Linked DNA regions of Lonchura striata. The protein of the gene in region 1 purifies or fractionates together with the protein of each later gene. This does not show direct contact. Links are inferred from orthologs where the notes say so. Each region holds a gene or a part of one and is shown on either strand. Other genes may lie near its edges. The genes, in order: GLS and SIRT5.

Region 1 (15,015 bases):
GAAAAAAATACATAGATAGTAACTAAAATCAGAGTATGTAGTCTTACATTATTTTAACCATCCGTTTTAAAGGTCTATCTTATAATCTATTAATACTGGCAATACTTTGTTCCTATACAGTAATAGATAAACTATTGCCTGAAACTAGAATGCTTATTGGCAATTTATATAATTTTATATATTTATGCATGTGTTTACAAAAAGTAGGTCCAAATTCTAGTCACTGAAGTTGTCAAGAGATTAGTAATTCTTTGAATAACAGAACTCAGGGCTATAACTGCAAAAATAAAATGCTACAGCTAAGCACAGACCCCAGATAGGCCAATGCAATCTTACTGACTGACGTTTAATCCTCTCTCTCCCAATACTTATCCAAGTCAGATTTATGATTATTTTTAATAAAAATATGATTATATCCAAATACCCTTATAAATTTAAGACAACTTCTAGATTGCCCTTGCCTCCCTCCTTTCCTTGTAACTAGCTGTGAAAACCAGCAGTAAAAAATATCACCTCTCATTTTCCAATTTAAAACCCTGTACTTACATACTAAGAACAGAAGACAGCTTTGTAAGCCAACAGAACTTTCCTTGTCTCACAGTCTAGATTTTTTTTTAATTTAAATTATGCTGACTGACTAATGCACAGACAGGCTGGCAATTCAACCAAGACAAACGTTTGCAACTACCTCAAGCAAATTACTGAACAGCCCTTTTCCTAAAGAAAATTCAGATCTTCCAGGCAGCATGTTTCACTTTCAATCTTTTGGGACAGTATGTCCAGCCAAGCCAACAGAACCAGAACTACCAACACAGCAACTAAAGCTTTAGGATGTCTACATCCTAATTCTGCAGGGAACTAATTTTAAAAGCTATGCTAAGTTACATCATCTACACCCCTACATCTTCATCATTTACATAAAGCATTCAACTGAGCTCCCCAAAATGTCAAGATTTCATGTTTTAAGGAATGCCTCTGCTACACAAGTCATTCCAGGGCTGGTGAAGGTCTGGCAGAAGAAATTTTCCTATTTCACTTTGGCAAAATTAGCCAGCAAATACACTGAGAAATGTTAACTGATAACCTATTTAATTACACATTTCTGAGCAATTAATTTTACAGCTGTTCCAAGTATGGAATTCTGTCTGAAAAGATGCAGAAAAATACTTCAGCCATTTAAGCAAGATTTTACCTGCCTCTTCATAAGATTTTAATCTATTAAAGAGATGTGTACCTTTGACACAGAAAATCTCTCAACGTGGTTTTCCTATCTTTCACATCTGCTGTTGTTCAATATGGGTCACTCAGCCTAATTAAACAACGGGGCTGCACAGACAACCAAAGCAAAGAGGATGACATTTAATACATTTACAGAAAATTGCTCCTTGTCAAATAGTCCATCTTTTGGTAAAGTTTATCAGCTAAATAGGGGTGAAAAGGCTTGCTCTGCAGTTTATCAGATCAGTGATGTCAGTAACTAATGTTTGCTTAACCTAAAAGATGTGTTTTGGCACTGTGAACACACTTAGCAAGATAGTTCTGTTCCACACATGCAAAAAGCTGTTTTTCAGGTCAGGGGACTTGCAATTTTCACAGTCAAATTAAGTGGAAATTCCAGTTCACCTATTTCATGAATAATGACTTTTGATATTTCTTTACCTTCTTGAAAAAAAAAAATACTATTAAACAACTAGACTTCTTTGGCAGTATACTAATCTGTGTACTACAATACTGGTGGACTGTTTTTTAAAATACAAAGAAAAACCAACATAGGAATTCCAAGCACAAGGATTTTGCAATCCTTCTTTCAGTTCCTCCTTTTCCATCAGTACAATGTCTACACCAGATTCTGGGGTGGGGGGACTTCATTTTAACAGATGCTGAATTTCTAGAATAAAAACAAGATTAAATTTCGAATAATGTGGAAGATTTGGAAGATTCTTACTCAGTACTTCAGGACAGAACTGCCAAAATGTAGAACAGGATTTACAGAACAACAAATGATATTAAAATATGATATTGCTAATAATAGTTTCAGGTGTTATTAACAAATATTACACCAGTCATAAAAATGAGGTTACAATTACTGTCACAAAACAATGGTCCCTCAGGAACCATTGAAGATCTTCATCAATGATAATGACAGTGAGACTGAATGAAGCCTCAGCAAGTCTGCCAATGACACCAAGCTGAGTGGTGCAGGTGACAAGCCTGAGGGATGGGCCAATATCCAGAGGGACCTGGACACACTCAAGAAGCTTGTTCAGGTGCTCGTGAAGGTCAGCAAGATAAAGTGCAGGGTTCTACACCCGGGCCATGTAACTCCTGGAATCAACACTGCCTGGGGGAAGAACAGATGAAGAGCAGTCCTGCCGAGAAGGATTTGTGGGTGCAGGTGGAGGAGAGACTGGACACGACCCAGGCACAGGCACTTGGAGCCAAATGTTTCCTGGGCTGCATCCAGAGCAGTGTGGACAGCAGGTGAAGGGAGAGGATTCTCCCCTTTGCTCCGCTCTGCTGAGACCCCACAGAGAGTACTACACTCAGCTCTGGGGCCCTCAGCACAGGAATGACACCAGCCCACTGCAGCAGGTCTGGAGGAAGCCACCAAGATGGCCAGAGGGATGAGCACCTCCAGCCTAAGAGGTAAGGCTCAAAGAACTAGGGTTGCTCAGTCTGGAGAAGAGGAGGGTCCTGGGAGACCTCACTGCAGCCCTTCAGTACCTACAGTGAGTCTATAAGAGATGGGGACAGGCTTTTAGCAGGGTCGCAATGGGACAAGGCGTAATGGTTTTCCACTAAAAGAGGGCAACTTTATATTTGATATAATGAAGAAATTTTATGGTGAGGGTGGTGAAATGCTGGAAGAGGCTGCCCAGTGAAGTGGTAAATGCCCCACCCCTGGAAACATTCAAGGTCAGATTGCATGAGGCTCACAGCAGCCTGATCTGCTTGAAGATGTCCCTGCTCATTGCAGAGGGGGGTTTGGACTAAGTGACCTTTAAATGGTCTTTTCCAATCCAAACTATTTTGGGATTCTGTGGAAGCTACAAGTCACAGTCAGCAGCCACTCTGACTAAGACAGGCACCTTGAAGAAGTCACCATGCTACAGATGCTGTATATCTTGGTTGTATCTCCAACACTGGTCCAGTCAGTAAGTAACTGCTTTCTGTCCACTCCTATAGTGAGACACTGGTCCCATAACAGAGGTGGGCAGCTATTCACCCAGGAACTACCAAGGTGCAAGAGCAAACTACATATTTATAAACTCAGACCAAAGATAAACATGTTTAGTAGCTAACAAAGTGCTTCTGGTGAGAAAAGAAAAAACAAAACCTCTAGCTTCAAAACCTTGGCCTCTACAGAAGTTATGAAGGGTCTAATGAAAGTGCACGCCTGTTTCTGGCATCTCTGAATATTGTATCCACACTCCATCAAAAGTATCAGCAAAATTAAACACTGCCTGGTTACTTGTTATTCCTCTGTTATCTGGCTTGCAAAAGCAAATTTTCAGAATTCATCCCTGCCCTTAAAAAAGGGCACTACCACTTCCTTGTCATAAAAAAAAAAAAAAAACACTTCCTGTAACTGTTTGATGATATTCTATATACTAGCATCTAGCACTATTGCAACCTAGCTAAAAAAGTGAGCAATTTAGCTTTCAAAAGTTAGGATCACTTACGTTTTGCTCTTCCCTCTCACCTTAATCAAGGCCTTTTTAATTTAGAAATAGCTTCTACTAAGATAAACTGTTTCATCCCTTAACTGTCCAGTACAAGATGCAAGAGGAACTCTTACACTGAAAGTAAAAGCAAGTGAAGAAGAGTTACATGGAAAGCAGGAATAAAGCATATAAAATATTACACACATTTATAACTTAGGAGTGTATTAGGCTGCTGTTTTTTAGTAACGCAGGCATGAGCATAGATACCATTGTGTTTTAATCCTGTTAATTAAATTTACTGGTCTGTGACCACTCTCAGTTTAAACTCAATTATTCTTCCTTTAAGTTTCAGTTGGATACACAGTGTGAAGGCTGGATAGCAAGGATAAGGAGATAGTGGAAGATGTTAGGGAAAAAATGCACCAGAGGATCTGGTTATGCAATGGGATACTAGTTATTTCATCAGCCACAGACCTCAAAATTTATTCTCACTATGAAAAATTGAACTGTGCTCAATTTCTGTAGTGTTTGCACAGAACATTTTAGGCTTTTACTCACAGCTCCTACTCTGTACACAAGGAGTGTTAGAAAAGCAAATCAACAGGAAAACCTTACTGCTGTCTTTTGACATAATGGGTTATTTCAGTATACCAGAACCATGACCTTATATTCAAATAGGAAAAAAAATAGCCACCAACACTAACTAAAAAAGAAAAAGGCTATTGCCAGTTGAGTCCACAAACCATTTGTCAAACACCACTCAAATGTTAAGCCACTATGCATGGCAAAGTGCTGGAATCAGCAGAATACAGACTGCACAGACTTAGCCCAGTTGTCAATGCAGTTCAGACACCTGTCTTTTGAAGAACCTCACTTTTCTACTCAACCCTGTACTCTGTATTAATATACCAATGATTTCCACATGGGATGTACCATTTACAAATGCTTGAAGGAAGATTATCAGAGTCCTGCTTCAAGAAAAGTAAGAATGAAAGTATCCAGCAGCCTGACTAATGCACCACCAAGAATTCCTGCACAACCTGAAATTAAAGAAAGTTTCTAGCTTTTTCTGTGTTTGTAACTTCATGCTAGATGTTTTACAGCATTTCTCCCTGTTCATTTTGCAGTAAGATTTAAAGAACAATCATCTAACTTTCAAACACATCCTTTTGTCAAAAGCCAAAAATTATTAAAAGTCTTTAACTGGTAGCTTTACCACACATGTTAGAAATTAAATAATTTCCCTAATCGATGCTAGCTGTAGGAAGCTAATAACAGCTCAGTTTAAGAAAATGTCACCTCTTCAATAAATCACTTTTGCAATACCCTCAAAAACCATCACAGCTGTCGTGCTGTTTTTTTCCAAAGTTTTTAACGTCTTTGTGTATTTCTGCCTGAAAACAGAATTGCAGTCTTTATAAATCACAACTATTTGACTATAGAAGAATACTTTTTTTGTTCCAAAACATTATATAGAGAGCTAATTCAAGGAGGAGACTTCGCATTTGTTGAATAGCATAAATTTAAAAATAATACCCATCATGATCGTGTATTATATTGCATACAGTTACATAACCTGACGGGCATGCATTTTTTAAGGCATCTGACAGCAGAAGTAACTGGTGATGCCTTTAAAGCAGGCTGTACCCCACTAAAGCAGGCTGAGTAGCTAACGCATCTGGGGGGAAAAGGCAGAGAAGAACAAGGTCACAGCCTCTCTCCCCACCTGCCATATTGAAATTCATGCTAAAATAAACCCTACAAACCACAACTCAAAAGCAGAACTATTAACAAGCTAAGGGCTGAAGCCTTCCTGACTGGCTTTGTAGAATCATTTTCAAACTAATAGAGACTTTGCTCAGCATCAAAACAAGGTATTCCTTTCTCAGCCCTGATTCTTCTATCATTTGCTCTTTTCATCTAGGTAATAAGCATAGCAAAGCCTGGGAAAACAGCTTGGGTTTAATTTCAATTATGCCACCCCATAATCAGTGCACAGGGTGCCTACAAGAATACCATGGGGCACATTTCAAACATATACAAAGCAGAAGTCTTCATGAGGCTTGTAGTTAAACTGTCAAACTTCTGGTAAAAGATTATTTGAGATTCTAAATGTACCCAGGTTCAAAAAGCCTAGCAGGGGTGGTAGGAAATGAATACTCAAGACTTGCATAATGCTGAAGACTAACAGAGAAGAATGCTCTGCCAAACTATTTACCTCATCATTATACCCAACCCCCCCGTATCCACTAACCAGTCTGATACACCTGTCTCTGATGTTTTGTGGGTTCTTTTTTTTTAAGAAGTATTTCAGTTTCTGAATGAAGGAGTATTAACTTCATTGAAATATACAGCCTTATCCTTCTACTACGTGCACACACCTATGTCACTAAGGGACAAGTAAGGACCTCGGCACAGGCACGCATCCTGCAGCACCTATAAACACCTGTATTCACCACGTACGGATGGCAGTGTGTGCCTCTGGCTGCACTAGATTACAGAATTGCTAGGGCTGGAAGGGATCTCTGGATATCACCCAGTCCGCAGTGCCCCTGCCAAGGCTGGGTCACCCCAGGGCAGGTTACACAGGAACGCATCCGTGTGGATACAGAGGCGGAGAAGACAGCACTGCAAAACTTCCAAGGCAGCACTACGCACCATGCACACTGCCTTTAATAATTAATGCGAGATGACACAGCTTTCGCTTCTCTTAAGAAATATTTTTAGCCAAGTGGAAGCGCTACCAGAGCCACCCTAGCACCTGCGCCGGGCCTCCCCACGGAGGGACGCCCGGGGGTGCGGGGGAAGCCCGAGGCGCTGCCCGGCCCCACGCCGCGGTGAGCGGAGCCCCGGGGGGCGCACACGGCCCCCGCCACGCGGCTGCGCCTCCCTCCCGCTCCGAGCCGCCGGCCGGGCCCGCGGCACCCGGGGAGCGGCCGGGAAGGGCCCCGGCAGCCCCGGGATCCCCGCACCTGCCGGGGGAGCGCCCGCCCGCCCGCCCGGCCCGGCCCGGCCCGGCCCGGCCCGGCCCCTTCCGCAGGCACCACGCGTGCGGGGGAGAGGCGGCGCTCACATGGCGCCTCCGCATCATCCCCCGCGCCCGCCGCCCCCTCCACACTCACTTCTCCCCGCCGCCGCCTACGGCCACCTCCTTGCCGCCGCCGCCGCCGTGGTTATTGTTGTGGCCGCTGTCGGCGGGGGTCTCGCCGGGAGTCGGCGACGGCGCCTGCGCCCCCTTCCCCGGCTCCTCCAAGGCTCCCTCCGAGCGGGTGCACAGACCCCGCGCTGACGGCAGCGCCGCCGGGCCGCGGCGGGCGGCGGGCGGGCTAGCGCCGAGAGCGGCGAGCGGCGGCTGGAGGCGCCGGGTCCCGGCGGCGGGTGCCGGGGCCGGGGCCCCGCCGCCGGCCGCCCCCGGCGGGCCGAGCAGCAGCAGCTCCCGCAGCAGCGCCGAGCGCCACAGCCGCATCATCCTGCGCCACCGCGCCGACTGCCCGCCGCGCCGCCCGGCCGCGCCTCTCGCGCCGCGCCGCGCCCGCCCCCCGCACCGCTCCATTGGCCGAGCCCGCCTAACTGTCAGGCGTGCGGCGCGCCCATTGGCTAGAGGGAACGTCACTCAGGGCCGCCGCCACGCCCCCGGCGCGGGCCGCGTCTCCCCGCGGGGCCGCTGGTGTGGCGCGCGGCCGGCGGGGCGGGAGCAGCAGCGCCCCCGGCGGGCGGAGCCGGAGCGCTGAGGGGCGCGGGGCGCCGCCTCCCTCCCTCATTCCTTCGCTCCGTCCTTCCTTTCCTCCCTTCCTCCTTCCCTCCCTCGCTCCGCGACGTGTAAAGGCGTTGGGAGCGGGCTGGGCTGCGGCGGTGTCGGGTTCAGGTTGCCATGGATATGGCCATTTTTAAAAACTGTATGTTTTTGATTACGAGGTGCACCGCCTCTGCCGTGCCGGCAGGATCACAGAATATGCCGAGTGGGAAGGGATCTTCGAATCCAACTCCTGGCCCTGCACAGGACGGCCCAAGAACCTCACCCTGTGCCTGAGAGCCTTGTCCGAACCCTTGCTGAACTCTTGTCAGGCTGGCGCTGTGACCGCTGCCCTGGGGAGCCTGTTCTATTGTCCGACCATCCTTCGTGAAACAAAAGATTCTCCTGGTACCCAGCCTAAACCTCTGCCATAACTGCACTGGTCACCACGGAGAAGAGAGAAGGATGCACAGGGCCTGCGTCACCCACCAGGCACCCTAGGAAAGGGCTCAGGGAACAGGAACCTCTTGGCAATGCCCTTGGAAGGAATGGTTGTTTCCACATTTTTTGGGTCAAACGCTTCCGGCAAGGAGCAGAGCTACTAAGGTGTTTCCAAGTATTTTCAATAAAAGGGTAACTGCATGGCTCATTGCTAAAACTTACAGTGGAGGCTGTAAGTCTTGGTCAAATGTCTGAAGTTTTTGGGTTTTGAGAAAAATAAACCCAACACAAACCCACAAAAAGCAACCACCTGGCTGCCTAGGTGATCTGGGTGTGGCCATTCTTCATGTTCACATCATCAAACATTTAATCAGAGTGTGGAAATTTTGCTGCTGCTCACCTCCAGTCCCAGTCTGGGAGCCACCGACCCATGGTTGTGAAGTCTTAAAAGCAAAAGTGTAGCAGAAAATAACTGCAGGGCTTCAGCACAAAGTGTAAATGTCACTCTTTTTATACACTTAAGCTTCTGTCACAGCTGTCAGGATATAGCATTTTAGAAGTCACAGATTTTGCAGTTACTTGGTGAAACTTTACTCACATCACCAACTGCTAAATTTGTCCTAGATGAGTATAAATCTATATCAGCAAATTTTATCCATTATGGGTAAGAGTAGAAGATGAGATTTCCTGTTATCCTACTTCCTCAGTAATGCCAACATGCAAACCAGTTTTTTAATTGTCCCTAGTCTTCTCAGCTTAGGAATCTTAATTTTCAGAGCAAAAATGTAAATACTTATGGAGCTGTGAGTTTATTACTGCTAAATTTCCTTGTGAACAATTTCCCCATGCATTGAGGTTTATTTCATCTGGTATGTTTATTATGTTTGGCAGAGGTGGGGGTGGAAAAGCTGCAATTCTGAGTTAAAATGATCTTGCTACACACTTTCTTTGAAATGTTTTACACTGAAGATACTGATATTTTGTTTTCCACCGCCCCCCAGATTGAAAGTTTCAGCTGTCTAGGTATAGTAACTTCCTCGTAAAGACCCCCATAAAACAGAGAAGGTTCTGTTACCCATTTTTCATGCACTCTGAGATAACTACATATAGACATGGAGTTTAGTCTTGCCTTGTGCTTCTACTTACCCGGCAGCACAAATACCCACAGGATTTCCCTATGCTAATAAATTGTCACAACAGCCATGAGGGTTTTTGGAAGAAGATATAAAGTTAGCTGATAATCTGTGCCTATAAAATGAGCCTCCACACATCAATGGTTTTGCTTCCCACTGATCAAGGAAACTTGAAATACCAGTGTGGGATGTGTAATCCTGTGCTGCAGTAACTTCACATACAAAAATGCAAAGTACCTGCATTTCTCACATACTTATTACGTTACCTATTATATTTCCTGGAACTGATTTTGGATTTCCATTTGCTAAGTCCTTTTTGGCAAACCAATACTGCCTCTTTTATCCTGCTGCCCAATAATAATATTTCTCATTTTAAAAATTGTGTTATGTAAAATGCTTTAAAGATAGAAGTCTCTCAAACACCTCTTCCATTTTTTTTACTGAGCCTGCTGTTCTAAGACCAAAGACTGTCTCTTCCAGACTGTGCATTTGGTCACTAATTGAACATAGTTCTGCAGACACTACAAGATTCAGAATTTTAGTGTCAAGGTTGTTTGTCAGTGTGACAGCTGCATTTTTTTCTAAGCCAGCTGTTTAGCCACAACCTGGTGCAAAAACTAGTCTAATTCATTTCTTATATTGTAGGGGGAGAAGAAGTGGAAGAATGAAAAATGTAATTATCTGGACCTTTCCTTTTAGTGCTCTGGTTTCTGTTCAGAACATTTCAGATAAGGTGGTGGGAAGAAAAAGAAAAAGCTACTGCATTCACAAAAGTATTTCCCTCTCAAAACAGTACCCCATGATACTTGACCTTACAGGAACTCTTTAATTTTACTCACTTCATTTTTTTTTCTTTTTATTTTGTATGCTATTGCCTTATTCCTGTATTTAACCTTTTAGTTAATACTACCTTCACATTACTATATTAGTCATCTCCCACTGCAAGTATTCTTCATTAAAGCTTTTCTTAAAACTCACTTAAAGAAATTGATCCTCGACTTCTCTCCCTGGAAATTCCCCAGTCTGTGTTTTTAACTGGTGAGGGCAGAAAATGCAAGTTGCTCTGTGTGTGGAACTACAAATACACAGCTTGGGAACAATGCAAAATGATAAATATAGTTTCAGATCCAGAAAGTTCAAGGGCAATAGTGACTCATTCGCTATTCTGAGAACTTTTGCTGCATAATTCAGGCCATCACTCCTTGCTCCTACTATGACTAAGCCTGAGACGTTTCACCCACTGATTCTCTCCCATCCTCCCACTGGCACAGGTATACCAGAGAGTCTTCATCTAAAGACAGATTTTTTTTTTTTTCAATTTAAAATAAGAAATGTAGTAAAAACGGCATCAAAACCACCACCATTTGCTTGGGAAAAGCATTATACATTTAAACCTGTTAAACTGACACTGATTTTTGTATTGATCCAGATGTTAGACTGGGCTTTCCCATATCCCAGCAAAACCCCCTTTAGATTTCTCCTTTGAACACAGTGATATTACTTGTCTCTTTGGAAAGAGAAGACAAGCCATCTGCTCTGCCATTCTGTGTTTCACACAGTATCCCAAGAGAAACAGAAAATTACAAAATGGTTTCCACACAGAGCAAAGAAATTTGAAATTAAAATTCCCCATAGCTTTTATTTTGAGTTGGTTACACAACCAGCAGTAACCATAAGCCAATTATTCTCTTTTTAATTTCCACAACTATACATGTTCTTTTGTAAAACAAAAATTATTTTAATTTAAAACAACAAGGTTCTTCAGGAAAGAAAAAAAAAGAGGGTCTTTTAAAATAGGCATTATTTTAAAGTATTTTCCTTAAGCTGTATTGTAGCAAAATATTCTTTGTATAGCTCTCTAAAAATAATCCATATTTCAGAGGTTTTCCTTTCTAAAAGGGGCATAGCAGCATTAATCTCCTAGGAGAAAGGGCTCTGAAAAGCAGGTGCAAAGAGGTCTTCCCAGTTCAAGCACATACACTGATAACAGCTTTCAGGAAGGTTAAATCCTCCCATCAGATCAGCAGGGCAGATCTCAGATAAGCAGCAGAAATTAAGGATTATCTTGACTACGACATGAACTGTTTACTTTACTATTTTAAATGGTTATGTTGGCTCCATTTCATTTGTTAGGGGGTAATGCTTTCCAGAAGAGAACTAAGGACCAGAGACAACTATTATCTAGTCAAGTATTTCTACCCATTCTAGCAGCAGTTCCTAAGAATACTCTTTTCTTTTGTGAGGCTAACTTGCTGCACCTTTGGGTAACATTTCTATATTGATTCAAGGGAAAGGTGCTCAGTCACAAGAAACATTCCCCGTTGGATTGTACAGAGGATACAGAACAGTCTCCTCTGACCATAGAAGCATAAGTAGTAAATAGTTACTATTTAATCTAAGAAAATGAATGTTCAAATATTTGGGCATCGTAGCTCAGAAATCCAACAAGGAGGGAAAACATGCAGAGGATTTATTTAACTGGAAAGTAATGGCTGAGGGAGTGACCTCAAGTGAAAAACAATAAAAATAAAATCAAAAATGCCCTCCCTGCATAGCGCATCGATGAGTCAATAGCTCAGTTCATATCACTCACATTCCAGGCAAACAGAGACAGTGAGGGATTAATTCAAAGGGAAGAATATTTGGAGGATTTTCTGAGACTGTCATGGAAAAAGCCTACAAGGGCCTAGGACATTTCTAGCGTGGTTAGCAGACAGCATATGATGTGTTCTAGCATACATGGCAAGAGCAAGCAAATTACAGAAGCAGAGTTATTGAGGATGACCTGCAAAGACTGACACTATTTTTTCCCATTACTCTGTTAGTTAACCTGCTTCCTTTCATCTTGTTTGGTGAGGGCACCATTGTTCCTCATGCTCATTATCAGTCATAGTGTTTTTCAGATGTAAGATTCTTCACACCTCAGAACATCCACCTTGAGAAGCTAACAGAAAAGCATTCCTTGCTGCATCCAGCACACTGCATGTTATTTGCTCTACAATATATCTAAATCATAGTGCTACATACCCCATGCATTCCACCCACAGTCACATTTAATGCTTAATTCTGGTGAGATCTCTTAAACTACAGCCTTGATATTTACAGAGGCCAGTGAGTGTGAGCAAATTTAAATCTTCTGTTTGTATTCCCAGTCAAATATCAGCCTAGGTAACCTTGTGCAAGCAAAATGAAACAAGTGACAACGTCATCCAACTGCCCCATCATATACCTGAGATGAGCACGCATGAGGGAGCTCAGGGGAGCCCATAGACTCATGTCTTGCAGCTCTTGAGAGCAGACATGGAAAATTGGTGGCAGCATTTGGTGGAGGTCAGAGCACTTGGGCTGACCACCAGCTGGCTTGTCATGTATAAAGCTCCACAGCACTGGGCAGTCCCTGGCTGATCATTAACACCTTAGTTATTAGGCCCCTAGAGGGCCTTAAGAAAAGATGGGGAAGGAGTTTTGACAAAGGAACACAGAGCCAGGACAAGAGGAAGAACTTCAAACGGACAGAGAACAGGTTTAGATCAGATACTAGGAAGAAATTCTTCATTTGTGATGACAAGGCCTTGGCACAGGTTGCCCAGAGAAGCTGTGGCTGCCACATCCCTTGAAGTGTTCAAGGCCAGGTTGGATGGGGCTTGGAGCAGCCTGGTCTAGTGAAAGATAGCCCTCTCCATAGAAGGGTTTGGAATGAGATGATCTTTATGGTCCCTTCCAACCCAAACCCATTCCATGATCTGCATGTGCCACCTCAGCCCTGAAGTGATGGAGAAGCCAGTGTGTGCTGCATCCTCCCCTTGTGCTAAGCTGGCTGCTTTCAGCTCTGAATTTCAGCACATTAAAAAGACCCTTGGAGAGATGCAAGCTTTCAGGCCAAAGCATTAAAGAGCATCACATTAAATTGTCCCATGAAGGAAAAGCCCTGGTTTTGCCCTTTCACAAATACCTGTGGCCATGTAGAGCCTTAAACTTGACAAAACATCCAGTCTTAAGCAGAGAAAACAAGGTAAAATTAAGCAAGCAAAACAAGCAGTCAGACCGTAATAGAAACTGTCTCATCATAAGTGGTAGTCCAAATAGTTTAAAAGTCTTCCACTTCCAGAAGACTCCTCTGGAGTATATAGAAACCACTCTGATTGGGTACAGGGTATAATGCCAGCATCAACAAAATCCCACTACCTCTGAAATGGCAAATTGATCAGCAAAACCACATGTTTTTTTCTGCCCTGATATTTTTGGCACCCTCTCATTTCTGTTGCTGCACTGAGGGAAGAGCAATGTACACTTCAGGTGACTGAGTCCTCAGCCTTCCTTTGCAACTGCAGTGAGTGGCCAGTCTCCTTCCAGGCTGCAAGAGTGTTTACGTTTCTGTTTGCTTAAAAACAAAAGATCCCATAAAGACTAATGAGAAAACAGACAAGTTTTTTAGTTCTTGAAGGATGTAACCTTGAAAGATTTCCATCCTTCCCCCACATCTAATTCTCTCTTTATAAACATGTAACTTTCTTAGGGAGGTGAAAGGGAGAAAGACTAGCAGCACTTCCAGTAGTACACAGTGTACCCTCATACTCCAAGGGTATTTAATGTTTATCCAAGGACTTTTGAACAGTTCCACAACAGTAGGCCAGGGAACCGCAGATCTGCAAAACTGAATCCCAAGATTTAAAAAGTAGAGCAATGAAGGTTTTAAAATAGTCTGGATTAAGTACATGTTTTTCCTAATAACTAGTCTGCTGCTTAAACATGTGGATGTTCATTCTAAACTCCAAGAAGAAAAACATTGAAAAATTTTACATGGTATTTTTGGTGTGTTTGAAACACTTGCGGAAGCCAAAGATTCGTGCTTTGGTAACATTAACTGCTGTCACAGAACTTCTTCACCTCATCTTTAACTGCTTCATAAGGCTCCATCTTTTCAGACAGGGCTTGAAACAAATCTCACAGAAGTCAGGAGCTGATGGGAAAACATACAAGACAAGAAACTCTAGCTTTTAAATAGTATGTTTAGCTCTCAGCATAATTTTCATAGCAGTAATAGACCAAATTAATTGGATTTTTATCTCAACTGACTGGGTTGTCATGTGGAAATTGGTGTGTTTCTAACATGACATGAACTCTGGTGGCAACATCACTCATTTCCATGCACGTGCCATGGTTTGTCACTCCCTCACAGTTGTCCTGAGACAGCTATTGAGCTGTGAAACAGAACTGAAACAAGCTGGGTTACAAATTGACAGGTCATCATTCTCTGCTTTGAGAAAGAGGAGTTTCACATGATAAGGCTGTGAAACATGTCTTGAGGTGTTTTAACTTAGCATGCTGTAGAAGGGCTCAAAGGAAGAGCGGGAGCCAAGAAATGCTGATAATTTTGTTTCTCTCTGTACACTTGGCCTTGTACTACAGGAAAGGGATGTTGTCAGATAACAGACATCACAGCCTTCCTGTCACAGGCAGTTTTTAAACTATGACCACGTGGCTTGGATATTTGGGATATTTAGATAAAGTTTCACCTGGTTCTTTGTTCAACAAATGGAGATTTGGGCAATTCTAGACACCCCTATAATAAAGCATAAGGCAAAACCAGTTGTCTAGCTGAACAATATGATTATATTGATATAAGGAAATACAAATTCTGGAGTTACAAGAACATCTATTCTGCCATATCATTGCATAGAAAGTCACCTTGTAATACGCTACACTAAGCACCCAAGACATCATGGGCCTAATTTGAGAACAAATCTAATAGGCCCTACTGTGGTCCATTCAATAGAAATTTTTGTTTTGTTTTCAGGCTGTTTGCTATATGTGCTGTGTTTGACTAAAGTCTCATTGGATATTTGAGGATCGGCTCTGCTAAAACAGAGTCAGAGAACAGTGGCATAGTTGAGCAGCCCAGCTGTGGTAGGGAGGATATATTCAGCTAAAAATGCTTTAAGACAACAAATAAAAAGTGAACTATATTGAGTATTTTGGGCCAGAAGGCATGTAGAACAGATACATGTAATTATTCACATAATTATGGTTAGGAAAACATCAT
Region 2 (14,904 bases), on another chromosome or scaffold:
CACAGCTTCTCTGGGCAACCTACTCCAGTACCCTTGTCAACTTTGTGGCTCTCCTCTGGATCTGCTCTAACAGTTCCAAGTCCTTATGCTGGGGAACTGTCCACAGTATTCCAGGACTGTCCACAGTATTCCAGGTGGGATCTCACCAGGGCAGAGCAGAGGGGGAGTGAAATTCAACAGCCAAACAACATTGTCTAATGTCTAACCCCTGTGTACCTCTTGACTTCTGAGTAGTCTGTGTACATTTTCAAGCTGAAAGGTCTTTTAATGTTTTGCACTGGACACCAGAGAGTCATTTTGGGGCTTTTAGTTCCCTCAGGGAAGCACAGCTGCGTCTGCTTTACCCAGGAGTTGCCACGTCCTTAGCGTGGTCTCCCTGCCGGTTCAGAGGACAGGTAAGGAAAGAGCCACTCACGACCAAGCAGAGGTCACAAATATCCAGCTCCTTCTCCACCTCCGTGAGCACACCGGGATCCAGGGCTTCACCAAACCACACAACGTGGGGCCGCAGGAGCCCATTGCAGCCATCCTCTTCACACCTGCTCAGACACCACAACGGGACAGCGTCAGGCTGCAGAGCGCCAAAGCAGTTCTCATTCTCGCCTGGGCAGGTCCTACCTGCCATCATCCTCCTTCACAGCCCTCCCTGCACCCTCCTCTACCATGTGCTGGACAGAAGACAGCTCATTCCATGCTACACATGTGCTGGAAGTACACATGTGCTGCATGATCCCAAGGAAGGGGTTGCTAAACAGGTGTTCAGTGCAGATACTTAATTGTGTCTTCCCCTTACTCAGCTCCTAAAATGCATGAAAGTTAACACTTGGCCCCCTTTAACAAACTGGTTGACAGGGTTTTAAGGAGAAAATGAACCAAAAGACAGAAGCATCACGTTAGCCTCTTTTTCCTTAGAAATTGGATAAAAAATGTGTTTTTTTCCATCTGCAACTAGCTAAGGCAAAGCTTCAGGCAGCGTAAAAAAGCATTGTGGCTGTGAGGGGAGCCCAGCACAGTATCCCAGACTAACAGTGGGTGGCACCTGCAAAGTAACAAAACATTTATGCTGTAGCACTCATTCTCTTGCTGCAATTCTCCTACTACTTCACTTACAAACCCCAGGAATTTGGGCATGTTTCATCTTGGTGCACAAGTACACAAACATGCGATGCCTTTAGCACCGTGGTAACTTCTACACGGTCCTTGTCTGATGCCCCAGTAACTTTAGACTCAGTTTCCTGGGACAGAGTTCCAGAGTTTTTTGTCTCCTTTGTGGAATGTCCTTCCAAAACAACGTGAATAGTAACATGAAGCTTTGAGATGCACAAAGCATGAAGAGGTAACAGCCCAACAAAGTGGTCCATACATACTGAGGAAGGTCTTCAACTGGAATTGCAGCATCTTCTGTGTCAGGATCTGGAGCCCTGTAGTTACAAAATGCAAGGACATGTCCAGCTGTACAAAAGGTATTTTACGTATTAATAAAAAATTTAACATTCTCTAAAAGCCTTCATAATCTCTAAAGCACACCCTCCAAAGAATCTGCAACTTCAGCCAACTTTAACACCTACTACAATCCTAAAATACCATACACAAGGCAAGCAGGAATTTGTCCAGAATTATCCTGGAGCTGAGCAACTGTAATAAGCTGGCCAAGACTGCCAAAGGCACAACAATTATTTATGTAACTATCTAATGGTCTGGTAAAATGTAAAAGGAAAAAAAATCCTAAAAATTCTTTGTGTATATGCCTGGCCCATCTCCCTGCTCACTTCCTTTTTTAATGGCAAAAGAAAGAATGGATTACCCCTTCCCAGCCAATGCGGGGCAGATTGGGCTCTTGTAATTCGCAGCCACGTTTCCACAGCTGGTGCACCGAGTTTTAAATAAACTACCTGTAACACACAAAGAGGAAACATCAGGGATGAAGCTCTGAGGTGTGGCTGTGCAGGCAAGTGGTTGTGTTTATCCTGGGCAGCTTTTATTTACAAACCTTGAAGGCTGCACCTTGTGGGTAACTTAAAAAAGGAATGCAACAGCAAAGTTCCACTATGTCACCTTGTTCTGCCTCAGGACATGAGTAATACACAGTCCCGTAACATATTTTGCAGGAAAATCATAATTTAAAATATCACTGAGGGGGATGATTTCTGTTTATTGGTTTTCCTCTTACATCAGAAACAATTTCTTAAAACAAAATACGCTGGTCAACACCTTTTTTGTTTGATGCGAAACTCCTCTCCCAAAACTTTTGTAGCATTACTAACGTGCCATCAAGATAGGCAATATAGCCAAGAGCTAAAAATTGTGTCCATTTTGTAAGGAATGCAAATAACCAAAATTAAACTGTTGCCAAGGCTTCATCATTTGGTCCACAACTGCAAAACAGCTTGTGCAGGTTTCAGGATTCCTGTGCCCAAAGCATGGAAGTGGTGGTGGGAAACTCCATTTACACCTTTAGTGATACTCGAGTTAAAAAGCATCATAGTGCTGGAGGACCAGGATGGATCTTTGTCCTGGGAGACTTCCACCCTGTGGCAGGGCCTGAGGAGTGGAGAAATGAGTGGAGTCACCTCCAAGGATGGAGAAGAGCTTCCAGACCCTCTTTCTCTCCATACCTGTACATCTCCTCAGATCCCAAACCCCCACTGATGCCCAGGTGCTGCATCTGCATGTGCTCTTCTGGCACTTTGTGGGAGTAAGGAATGCCACTGACTACAGGGAAGAGAAGGGGAGGGCCATTGGCTGCAGGAAAGAAAGGTAAGGGAATCTCAATTGTTTCCAGTCCCTTTGTCCTCCTGTAGCCAAGGACTGCACAAGTGAGGACAGGACAGAGCAGGACAGAGGAGAAGCACCAGGGCTGATGAAGCCAGGCTTCCAATACACCCTTTGTTGGTGGCAGTCTGACACCACCACTACCACACAGTGGAATTACTGGGGATTTTTTTCCCCTTTTCTAAGTGAAATCACCCAGGTGTGACAGCCACATGCATTCAAGCAGATCGGTGGAAAACTGCAAGCAAAAAGGGAGAACCAGTTCCTGTGTACTGTCAGAATACATTAAAAACAGAAAGATGAGATTCTGTGATCCTAAAGGTAAGGAACAAAGAGAAGATATGAAGTACCTGAAACAACTTCTAGAAGAGAACAGGGTGTTATTGCAAATAACTTTATGCAAGTTATTGTAATTATAAGACAAAATTCTTTTCTCTTTGTATTTATCTCCCTTTCCCTTCTTCCCACTCCCCACCCCAGGTTTCCTGGCCTATGGCAGACGTGACCCAACTCTTACCGTGGATTTCTAAGAGCTGCTTGGTGCCTGCCTTCCTGTGCAGCTCATCAATGTTCTGAGTGATGACCACAACACTCCTTCCTTGCTTGCTGAGACGCTTCTCACACTCTGCAATGGCAATGTGGGCTGGATTGGGATGTTTGCTCAGCATCACTTCCCGCCGGTAGTGGTAGAATTCCCACACACGGGAAGGGTTTCGTGCAAAAGCCCCTGGAGTAGCCAGCTCCTGCAAAAGACATAACAGTCGTCCTACAACGAAAGAAGAATCCCTTCCCCAGCTGAAGCCTGCTGGATTTCTGCCATTTATACTGCTGCCTGCATCACAAGGTCATCAAAAGCAGATTACCTATAACCACGTGCAGTTGATAAGAATATTGTCCACAGCCCTTACAAGGGTGACACGTTAAAGTGTCAGACCAAAAGAGCAAATAACTTACAGAAATAGTGTGGTATGTGGGTTTACACTACACTCCAACCATACTCTGTGCTGACCTACCAAACTATTAGGAGCTTAGCACAAAGCAAGATGAGATACTCCAATGCACACCCACAACTCTCTTTTCCACAGCAGCCACAAAACACAGCATCATGTGAATATATTTCCTTTGCTAGGAATTTCTTTTCTGCTTTAATTTAAGTGTTAACACAAGCCAAATTATATCCATTGTCAAAACCAAAGTCTAACATCTTGTATTCTGTATGCAGGTAAAATTGAACCTGCTTTTCACACTAACTTTAATTTTGCCTTCTCTTTCTCAAAAACGAGGTGCAGCTCAGTCCAGTAACTCAGTGCACAATTCTGCTGACACAGAAACTAAATGCACGTTTCTGATGCAGCAGGACCAAACATTTAAACACACACATGCTTTATTTGAATTGATGATCACTTGAAAGCAAAAAACTCATCTTTAGATTCAAACCAGTTTCAAAAATTAATGTCTCTGACACTTTTTTAGCTACATCAGGATCTTTCAGGAATGCTGTAATTAAAAACCACAAAGAAAGCAGGTGTGATTGCAGCATTTGGGGTAGCAGGTAGTGACAGCAGAACAGCTGCTGAAACACCTGCAGCACCAGCAGGATGAGAGTCATGAAGCCCCCACAGAGCTCACATTGTTGGTGCCTTCAGCTGTAGTCCCAGTGCCTGCTCCCACCTCCTCTCCCACCCCTGTGGCTCTCAGTGCTGGCAAGATCATGACAGCAAGAGAGACAGCCTGTGGGAGAATTAAAGAACCTGCCCTAAAATAAAGCAAGTCCTAAAGCATTTTTAAAGGGTGTTCTGAGACACCAAAATTAAAAGAAAACAGCCAGTCTCTTTTGTCAGTTCTTCCTTTGGTATTTTGGTTTGTTTTAAATGCTAAAGAGTTTAAAACAGGAAAGGCCCCACACAGTAGGAAAACAGTGAGGGTGTCAAAAGATGAGCAAAAAGCTGAACTGCAGGAAAACAAGGATGGTTTAAAGACCCAGAGCTGCCTGCTAGAATGTTGTTTTTCCCAAGCAGCTGATAAACTGAAGGACAGAAGCAGATCCCCAAGAGCACAGAGAAGAGCTGCAGGGGCAGCTGTAGGGAGAGCTCTGTCCTTGCTGCACTGGATGGGACAATATCCACCCTCTTCCTCCACCTGTTCCTGACCCTCCATGCTCACCTGTGTGACGGACACAGAGGTGGCCCTAGAGGCATGGGCCACCAGTACCTACCTGGGCTTGCCACTTTCTCCAGAAGCCTCCAGCCCCTCTGAAGGTGGGGACACCGCTCTCGGCACTGACCCCGGCTCCGGTGATGATGGCGATGTGCTTGGCTTTGGCAAACACCTCTCGGAAATCAGCCATGTCTGTGCCAGGGCAGGGAAACGAGAAAACAAGGAGCTGTTCAGGCGCTCACACTCTCACCTAAGAGGCCACACTCACACTTCCATACACACCTCCCATGACTTTAATTTTGGAATAACAGTTGGTTCCTGAACTTCTCTATGTTGTAATTTAAAGGGCAGTTTCTGGAGATTCTCAAAATATGTGTCTGAGCAGGCTCAGTAGGGCAGGATGTGCTAAACATTATTATAGTCAATACTGGAAAGGCAGAGTCTTTAATTAAAACCCCACATTAGATGCTACCCCAATAACAACTGTTGGCACCACCACCCAGGAAGAGTTTGCTTCCCAATTGTTACTAAAATCTTGAGATAAAAAAAAATACATTTGTTTTGTTGTTGTTTTTGTTTGTTTTTTTTCTCCATGAAGTATCACCTTCAAAATTAAGGTAATTTGGGAAAATGTGCTTTCTTTTGAGGCATTTTTTCTGTTTTCTAGATTTGCAACTGTATTTTATATTTTTTAATGTGTTATTCCCACCACTTTCCCCTGCATGGTAGTTTGGGAAAAAGATTGAAAATTTCCTTTGCCTTTTTATGCGAGTCAAGACAAAATTAAAGAGGAACAGGTTAGCTGCAGACAGACAAGAAAAATATATTTTGCAGTTTACCTCAGATATGAATTTTAAAGCAACACAGGTTAGAATCACAAAATAAATGGCTGAGGTGGGAATGGACCTCTGGAGATTGTCTTGTTCAACCCCCTCTCCTTAAGCAGGGTCAGCCAGAGCAGACTGCTCTGGACAGTGTTCTGTGGGGTGGCTTTTGGTATGGACACGGACAGAGACTCCATAACCTTCCTGCACAATTCAATCCATTGTTTGGCCACCTCACAGCAGACAAACACCATGGAGTGTTTTTATGCATTGCCCTGGAGCCATCATTGCCACAAGGGCTCATCACTGGCTTAAGGCCAACGTGGTGCCCACCAGATCCCCAGGGACATTCCTGCCCAGCTGGTCACCCAAGCCTGTCCTGGGTCTATTTCTTCCCAGGGGCAGGACCCTCCGAGTACCAGCCACTCCTCCCAGCTTCATATTATGTGGAAACTTGCCCAGGATACACTCCAATCTATTGTCCAGATCATTAATGAAGGTGTTTAACAACAGTGACCTCAGTATGGATTCCCTATGGTGTCCCATGAGTGGGCAGCCTCCAGCTTTGAGCTGCTCGCCACAACCCTAATCCTCACAATTTACTAGGTGGTCTTTCAGATAGAAATCAAAACTACCCCCTGCCCCCTATACACACAAAAGCCCACCCAAAGACAGGTAAGTTCCTGTAGGGAGAAAGAGCCATTGGAGAGGTCCCAAAGACCCACAGTACAGAGCCCCTGGACTGGGCAGAGAACACTCCTATTCTGATGCCCCACCTGCTGCTGCAAACCAAACCTCACAAGCCCTTGATGTGTAAAGCTCAGGCCAAAAGCCCTCCCAGACAGGTGTCTGGCAGCAGCCAAATCCTGATGCTCAAGGCAGCAGAAAAAGCAAGTTTGCCTTGACCACCTGACATTAGGGAGTAGCTGTTGTACCTGTGTGCAGTTTTCAAGTTAAGGCACATTGTCAAATTGAAAAACAAAACCAAAACACCCCCAAACAGGTGAAAAGAGGTCAGCCTTAACTCCCAGTCTGAACAGGGCTCCTGGGGTTACCCAGCTCCTGAACTGTCACAAATACTCAAGGCCCATTCTTGTACAAAGAAATGAGGAATTAGTTTTATTACTCATTAGCATTATGAAAGGGAAATGCAATTAACCACTGCATACTTATGTGCATAAATTATAAACATTAAAAAGGTGTTTATGTTGTAACCATGATGACTGTAACAGTTTATGGAACTATACAGAATACAGTCGTAGAAAGGTAATTTTACTAGTCTGGGAGACAAATAAAGCAACCTCAACTGTTTTAAACATTTTTAATTAAGCCATGGATTTCACCTAGCACACAACACCTTCTAGCACTTCAAATCCACCTTAAAAAGCTGTCCGGGGTGCTAAAGCAAACAAATACACGCCTTACTTGAACTAGGACGGGCCATTTCCAAGCCAAACTTCTTTGAAGACGAGGCCTTAAGTCCACAACGCACTTGGGGAACCAGCCTTCTAGCGGCAGACTGGAACAGACACATCGGGATCCCTCGGAAGTGTTTCACCTGGGGAGAAATAAATCAAACGTCAGCGGCCCAGGCAGGGTGCGCATTTCTGCCAGCTCCCCGTGAGGGGCTCTCCTTGGAGAACCAGCTGCGAACACGGAATTCCTCCTGCACCTGCAGAACACGGAGCCATCCCCCAGCCCGGACCCTGGGGCCGGGGTCACCGCTTTTGCTCAGAACGGGGCACATCAGCCCCGCTCCACAGCGGGGCTTTCGGCCGACGTTCAACTTACGCCACGCTCCCGAGCTGCGCTGCTAACCCGAGGCGGCTCCCAGGACCCGCCGGCATGGTAAGAGAAAGGGGAAAGGCGAGGGACGGACCCGCGGGGGCGGCGAGCCTACGTGCCGCTGCCGGCCCGCAGAAGGGCGAAGGGGCAGCAAGGGCGGGCGGGGCCGCCGTGCGGGAGGCGGGACCTCCGTGCGGGGAGGCGGGACTGCCGTGAGGGGAAAGCGGGACCGCCGTGAGAGGAGGCGGGACTGCCGTGAGGGGAGGCGGGGCCGCCGTGAGGGGAAAGCGGGACCTCCGTGCGGGGAGGCGGGACTGCCGTGCGGGAGGCGGGACCTCCGTGCGGGGAGGCGGGATTGCCGTGAGGGGAGGCGGGGCCGCCGTGAGGGGAAAGCGAGACCGCCGTGAGGGGAGGCGGGGCCGCTGTGAGGGGAGGCGGGGCCGCCGTGAGGGGAAAGCGGGACCGCTGTGAGGGGAGGCGGGGCCGCCGTGAGGGGAAAGCGGGACCTCCGTGAGGGGAGGCGGGACTGCCGTGAGGGGAGGCGGGGCCGCCGTGAGGGGAGGCGGGGCCGCCGTGAGGGGAGGCGGGGCCGCCGTGAGGGGAGGCGGGGCCGCCGTGAGGGGAGGCGGGGCCGCCGTGAGGGGAGGCGGGGCCGCGGGCCTCACTCGCGGCTCCGCCCGCCTCACGCCAGCCCGCCGCGCCCCGCCCCGGGCGGCGCCTCGCCCCGGGCCTGCGGCGCCGCACGTCCCGCCCGCACTCCTGGGGGAAAGGCCGCGGCGTTACGGGATGGTGGATGGATGCACTGGAGGCAGCCGCGTGTCGCTCCCCGGCGTTGCGCTGTCCCTGCGCCTTGCCGGAGCGTATCAGCTGGAATGAGACGCAAATAGGTCAGGGAAGCTGGGTGGCTTTCCAGCGTCATTCCTCTCTGCGGTCCGCCCGTGGCCGTTCGCAGTTCACGCATGAGAACTCCGCTGCATTTGGACAGCACACAGTTTATTTATTTATTTTTTAATGAGGAAACACTGTTTTTAGCATGTTTTGGTGCATAAAGAAGGCAGCGCCTGCTCTCATCCAGCCGCCTCCTCCCCACCCTTCCCCAACAACCTTAATCATTGCGGTCCTTTTCAGACAGAGGTTTTGCCACATTTTCCCTTCCCTTTGGATTCCGTAAATGACCAGCTAAGCAGATGAAGAGGCCCCCAAAACACGTACCCAGAGAGGGGAAAGGCTGAAAGCAAGCCCCGAGCTCTTTCGAGTCTGCCGGCTGTCCAGCGCCGGGGGCAGCTCCGGTTCCCCACTGCCGCCGGCACAGGGCGAGTTACCTGAGCGAGCTCGCCCGAGCGCAGGGCAGGAACAGCCCTGCTGCTCCCAGGGGCTGGCAGCCGACACCCCCCGTTACACTGCTCCACGGCACTCCGTGCTGTTTACAGAGGACCGGCGCTTCGTACTCTGCCTCCAGCTGCAAACTCGAGGGAAGCCTTTGGTGGGGGAATGCTGACAGCGAGCGCTGCTGACTAAACGCTTGTGCTGGTGCTTGGTGGGCTGTCACAGCTGCTCCCCGAGCCCTCCGTGTCTCCAGGAAAGTAAGCGTGCTCGGAAAAACAGCGCGTCATAAACTCAGAAAACAAGCTGAAAGCCAGCGTGATCTTACTTAGCATTCTAACGACCCTGATGTCAAAATCCATTAATTCTGTGCAGACTGGGAAAACAGGATGGCAGATTTGTTGAATGAGGGATTGGCTGTGCATAACGTTATTCATTATCATAATTGGTGTTTTGTTTTTTTTTTTTTTAATTGACATCTTGCTACAGATTGTACACTGTACAGACTGTCTAATAAGCTACACTGTGCTTATTAGGCAGTGTATTTTAGCTGCTACTTAATCTTAAAAAAAAAAAGCAATTTGCAGTTGCACTATCACCACAATTTTCTTCCACTTTGAATCCAAAGTTCAAACCAGCAGAATCCTAGTCTAACATCGCTAACAAAAAAAAAAAAAAAGATTCTGTTTCTGTACTAGAATTTTGAGGAGCACATCAACCAAAGAGCTTTCATCTTCCTATCACATTGTTGCACCTGTCAGCTGTGCTCCTAATTTTACATCAACCCAGGTCAGGGCATGTTCACTTGCAAGGTTTGCAAAAGTACAGGTTTTTTAATAAAACCAGAATTCACCATGGCATAGTTTTTGTGAAATGGGTACAGAAGGACACAAGGCTGGCTTGCTTTCGTCTCTTTGGCATATACAGAATGCCTACTCCAAGAGCACAATTATCCCAGTGTTTCCAAAGCCTGAAACAATGAATAGCCCAGATGATGCTGGCTGATTTGCTAACCTGGTGTAACTACTGAATGTGTGCCGTAAGAAAATGGCCACACTGATTTTCCAAATTGTTTGTACTGATCCTGGAAAAATATTTTAATGCCAATGTGTAAGTAGATTTCCTAAAATGTTTATAAAAATATTAAAGTGACATCTAAACTTAACTTCAAGATGCTGGCATGTTTGCCATTGATACCTGGCAGTATTCCACAATCATCTGTGCCCAATAAAATAATTCTGCATAAAATCTTTTTCTATTACAGTAGTTTTCCTTCAGCAGCAGTGTCATTAATGCAGTGAGAGCAACTCAAGGTGGACACCAGAAGCATGAACTGTTCTGCAAAGATACACATTTCAAAATCAATTAACACTTAAGAATCCTGTCTTAGAAGGGACAAAAGCCATGGCAAGGGCAAGTACACTGAACTTCACAGCCCCTCCTTTCACTGCCTCCTCCAGCACATTGCCCTCCCAGATGCCAGCGGCTGGGGCCTTTATATATTTAGCAATGATCCTCTCTTATCTGTCTTCCAAGAACTTGTCCCATCTCCCCTTGACCATCGGGATTCTGTTCTCTGGCAGGAGTTCTCCACCTCTGCTCCCTCTCCTGGGAAGGACAGGGAAAGCAGAAGGTGAGGAATGTGTATTCAAAGGGGCTGCTCTTCTCTGAGGCTCAGTGGTAAGAGAGGTTCATACCCTCTAGTCTTCCACTCCAACATCACTAGCCTTCAGCATTTTTACCAAGTCCTTTGCATCTGAGCAGCACCAGCTAGAAACAGCTCCCTCTTTGAGCATTAAGCCTAATTGTACCGAACACAAGTAACACATTTTTTTTAAATCCCAAGTAAACAGTCTGTATTCTAACACACAACAGGTCTGCACCAATTAAATACAGTATGGCAATATATAAATTACAGGTCTTTACAGTAAATAGTAAAATACGAGAGTCCGCTTATTGTACACAACAATCAAAGAACAGCAGCTTTTCAGTAAGGTCCCAGGTATCTCAATCATTCACTTGCTAAGGAACAAAGAAAAGATACAGCAGGCCATTCACTTCACTCATTTTTTACCATGTTGCTTTACAAATATCCAGAACACTTGTACAGGCATCTACAGTATCTACATGTGGAACAACCTTCTTAGGAATTCATAAGCACCAGACATAAATCCCTCCATCATTTCCATTATTAAAATAAACTTTACAGATTAAAATTACTTTAGCAGGTTCTATTTCATCTTGATAATAAACCAGCAAGTAACAAGTGCAAAGTCTGCAGTCATGATCCATTTACTGCTTCTTTATTTCCCATTTCTCCCCACCCCGCACCCAAAAAAACTAAAACCCCTAAAAAACCCAGAATGTTGTCCTCTCACACCCTTGGAGTAATACTGTTTCTGCAGTCAAACTGCCCAGCTGGCTTTTGCTAACATGTGAAATGCCAGACTCATAGCTTCAGGCATCATCAGTCATTCCAATGCCAAGTCAGCACAGTGGCAGGCCTCAAGGAAGACAAAACATATGAAGCAGTTGGATATTTCAGTGTGCTTAAACATGGAAGGCTGCATGGTGCCCAGTGACTGAAAGGAATATGGCACCAAGTTACCAGTTAAAACATTTACAATAGAAAGATATAAACAGCAAATATGTCAGTCTAAAACAAGTTCTTTGGTAATTAAGAACAGCGGTTGGGTCTTTTTTCCAAAATGGATTCACATCCTGTTTTTTCCTCAATAAAATATCTTTTGTTGTTTAAAATATATCTCCCAAGTTGTTGTGTAACAAATAGTCCAGTACCTCAGTTATCTACAATCAGCTTTAACTGTGTTTTAGTGTGCAGCCATATCTGCCTACTGGCAGACAATCTATAGATACACATTCATATATATATATAATATATATATTATTTATAAAAAATTAGAGAATTAAGTCAAGGACTCTAGAGAATACACATTCCATATGGACAGGTTAAAATGTACAATAGCTTCAAAAATCCATAAAGTTTTCTACACAGTGACGCGTGTAGTAAGTGCAAAAATACTGTGGTTTAGTTAATCCAAGATTTCCTGTTTTCCTGTTTCCTAGAAAAAGCAGAAGCTGCTGCATCTCCTGAATGGCAGAGGACGTCTCCTCCTGTCTTGGGAGTGGCTGATGAGCCTTGAAGCACAGAACTCTTCCGTTTCTCTGAACTGGAAGGTGCCTGAGAACGGGAAGTGCTACTCCATTTCCTTGCGGGAGCTGGTGCTTTGCTGAGGCGCCCGGGACGAACGAAAACACCGTGTCGTGGTTTGCAGTGGAAGTACTCTCTGCCTTTCACAATTCCATCGTGCTTCCCTTCAATGGAAAGAAATGCACAGGATTAAATGCTGGTGCTGCCATTAACACATACAATTGAGGCGATGAAGTGTGAATAGCTTTCATTTTCTGTCAAATAGTCAAGATTGCTCCTGCTGAGTGACAGAGCCAGATGCTTACCATACACTAGGGAGAACAAAACTTGGAAAGGAAGGCTTAAAATGTGACCAAAAAGATGATTTTCTAAAATATTGCTTTGTTAACTAATAGTTTAAAAAGCCAAGCATGTGTTCATTTTGCAAAATAAACTTTGCTTGCAAAGCTCAAAATTTAGCTGGAGACAAATAAGTGATATTACCTGTTAAACTACTAAAAACATATTTTTAAATGACCTGAACCATTTCTGTAGAAGTTTGTTAACACTTGCAGAGCACTGACTTTTTCTGACCCCTCTGAAATGAAGTAACAGAAAGCCTGTGTTCTGGAATTCATCTTTCCCCAGTGGAAAACAATAGATCTCTAAAAGTCACTGACAGCAAACCTATCTGACAAGTGATGCACACTGCTAGTACTGTTCATGAATGTGTGCACACTTATTAAAAAAACATTGTTTCTCTGATCTGTAAAAACAGATGGGTACCAACAGGGAACTACCACAACATGCAAAAGCAGAGCTTTTAGACAATTAAAAATGGATCAGAGCATCTCTACAACCAGAAAGCTGTGATTTGGGTGTATCAGATACCAAGCTTCCTGAAACTGGAGGTACTTCCCATGACTGAACTGGAAGTAATGTTTGTACTATGACTTTAAAAATTGGTCATACTAGCTGCATAGATAACCCAGAACACATTTAGTCTTACCCAGCTGAACATTGAGCTCAACTCCAACCCATATTCCAGCTGAAAAATCCACCGTTCCAACGTATCTCACTGTGCCCATTTTATTACTTCCAACACAGACTTGCTCGCCCACAGCCACCCAGCTTGGCAAGATGTGGGCTTGATCTGCAGAAGCACCTTCTTCACAATCAGAACCATCCAAATGGTCCTTCATAATAAAATCGTCCATGGAAGCATCGGGATAAGTCTCAGGGTCTGAAGGGTCTTTCACCAGTCCAGAACAAAAAGGGCTTTCCACAGCATCCGCAAGCCAGCCGTCAGCTGGTGTTGCTGCAGAGCTCTGCTGGCCTGTGCATGGGCTCTGACCCTTGCCAGGGCCTCGGGGTGACTCCGAGGCGCTCGCTCCATTAGAGGACAGAAGGGAACACAACTGTGGAGCTGCTGAATGGTCAAAGTCCTTCCCATCTTCAACACCCATGAATTCAGTGAAGGAGTGATCTTCCAGAACGTCCATCGTGTGCTCAACTGTCACCTCGCATGCTGAAAATTCGATGGTGTTTTTGCCATCCAAGGAACTTAGAGCTGAGAGGGATCCAGCTCTGGGTAGCTGCTGAGAGTCTCTGTCAGCGGCACTGAATGACAGTGGTACTTGCTCTGTTAAGGCACTGTTTCCTTTCAGTGGTACCACAGGTAACTTCTCTCTTGATAACTCCTTTTCTGATTCTCGACATTCCTTGTTCAAAGAAGATTTTAAATCATGTTCAAGGGATGATCCCGAGGGATCACTAGAGTCCAGCTCCTTGGAGTGACTGGCTAGCTGGTCTGTACTATCACTACAGTGAACAAGCATGTCAGACAGGGTGGCATTAGAGGCACTGTGGGAAAAGTAGCCACTAGTGATGCTGCTAGTGGTAGGACTGCGGGACACCTCTTTCTCAAGAACACGTGAGCTCATGAAGTCTGATTTAGAGGAAAACCACTCCCTGTTCTCTAGGCTAGCATTGTAAATACTGAAGTCAGCAAACTCCTCCGGTACGTAAGGGCGGAAATTTTGAAAATTTTGTGGACTTATCAGTTTCTTATTAATGGCCTCCAACTCATTGTCTTCCTCCTCAGAGTCCTGCAAATGAGAAGAGGAATTAGGATTAGGAACCTGTGACAGTGAGGTTTCCAAAATAAACTAACCATCCTTGATTTTATCTTTCTGAGCATAGAGAAATATATACCTTTAATATTCTTTATTCTCATTGAAAAGAGCTGCTGGAAATGTATCCTATCTACACTGAGCTACTCAATTTTTAGAAAATAAATTCTAAATAGTTCAGGAAATATAAACCAATATTTTATATTGAAAATTATTATTTTGATACACAAACTTTTTTCCCCATGATTTAGACTAATTAAACACACTGAAGGTATTTTATAGGGTTAATTCACTACCTAACAAGATAAACACAAATATGAAGGGTAAAGGCCTTAAGAAGTCCCTGCTGCAATACAGGTTATTAAAAACTTTGGGATGATTAACAACCTTGCACAGTGGGATTTTCTATTAACCTGATATCAGCAAGGCTAAATAATTTTGCTTACCCCAGGTGAACATGTTCAGGATGTTTGAATATACAAGCAAAAAGATAAAATATTACAGCAGATCTTCAAGGAAGCATTTCTATGCACACGTGTTTGTGTTTGGAGGGAAATAGGTGACACTAATCACCCTAATAGAATTTGGAGATGCCTCCCTGATTTTCTCCTTGGTGATGTGTGGGGATCCACCCTGACCAGACCACAGATGTGGCTTTCACAGACTCCATCTGAAGCTGAGAACTTCAGTCTGTAAAGATGAATCTGAGAAGGACTCTGTCAACATGGTAGGGCTGCTCCTCCAAGATAAAATATTGCAG

The links.
Region 2: the proteins of GLS (region 1) and SIRT5 purify together in Homo sapiens (affinity purification with western blotting; 3 studies listed by BioGRID and IntAct, with this or other methods). This does not show direct contact. The link is inferred for Lonchura striata from reciprocal best matches to the Homo sapiens genes GLS and SIRT5.

What each region holds. Positions count from the first base shown.
Region 1 is NC_134610.1:30,518,499-30,533,513, forward strand, and holds the start of GLS (glutaminase kidney isoform, mitochondrial), read right to left. Parts: upstream 7,135-15,015; coding exon 6,788-7,134; intron 1-6,787. UniProt on the Homo sapiens protein: Catalyzes the first reaction in the primary pathway for the renal catabolism of glutamine. Plays a role in maintaining acid-base homeostasis. Regulates the levels of the neurotransmitter glutamate, the main excitatory neurotransmitter in the brain.
Region 2 is NC_134603.1:88,962,745-88,977,648, reverse strand, and holds the start of SIRT5 (NAD-dependent protein deacylase sirtuin-5, mitochondrial), read right to left. Parts: upstream 7,717-14,904; 5' UTR 7,545-7,716; intron 7,312-7,544; 5' UTR 7,288-7,311; coding exon 7,179-7,287; intron 5,122-7,178; coding exon 4,988-5,121; intron 3,516-4,987; coding exon 3,290-3,515; intron 1,893-3,289; coding exon 1,805-1,892; intron 1,422-1,804; coding exon 1,368-1,421; intron 540-1,367; coding exon 416-539; intron 1-415. Other genes in the region: kinesin-like protein KIF13A, read right to left, coding at 11,911-12,197, 13,022-14,120. UniProt on the Homo sapiens protein: NAD-dependent lysine demalonylase, desuccinylase and deglutarylase that specifically removes malonyl, succinyl and glutaryl groups on target proteins.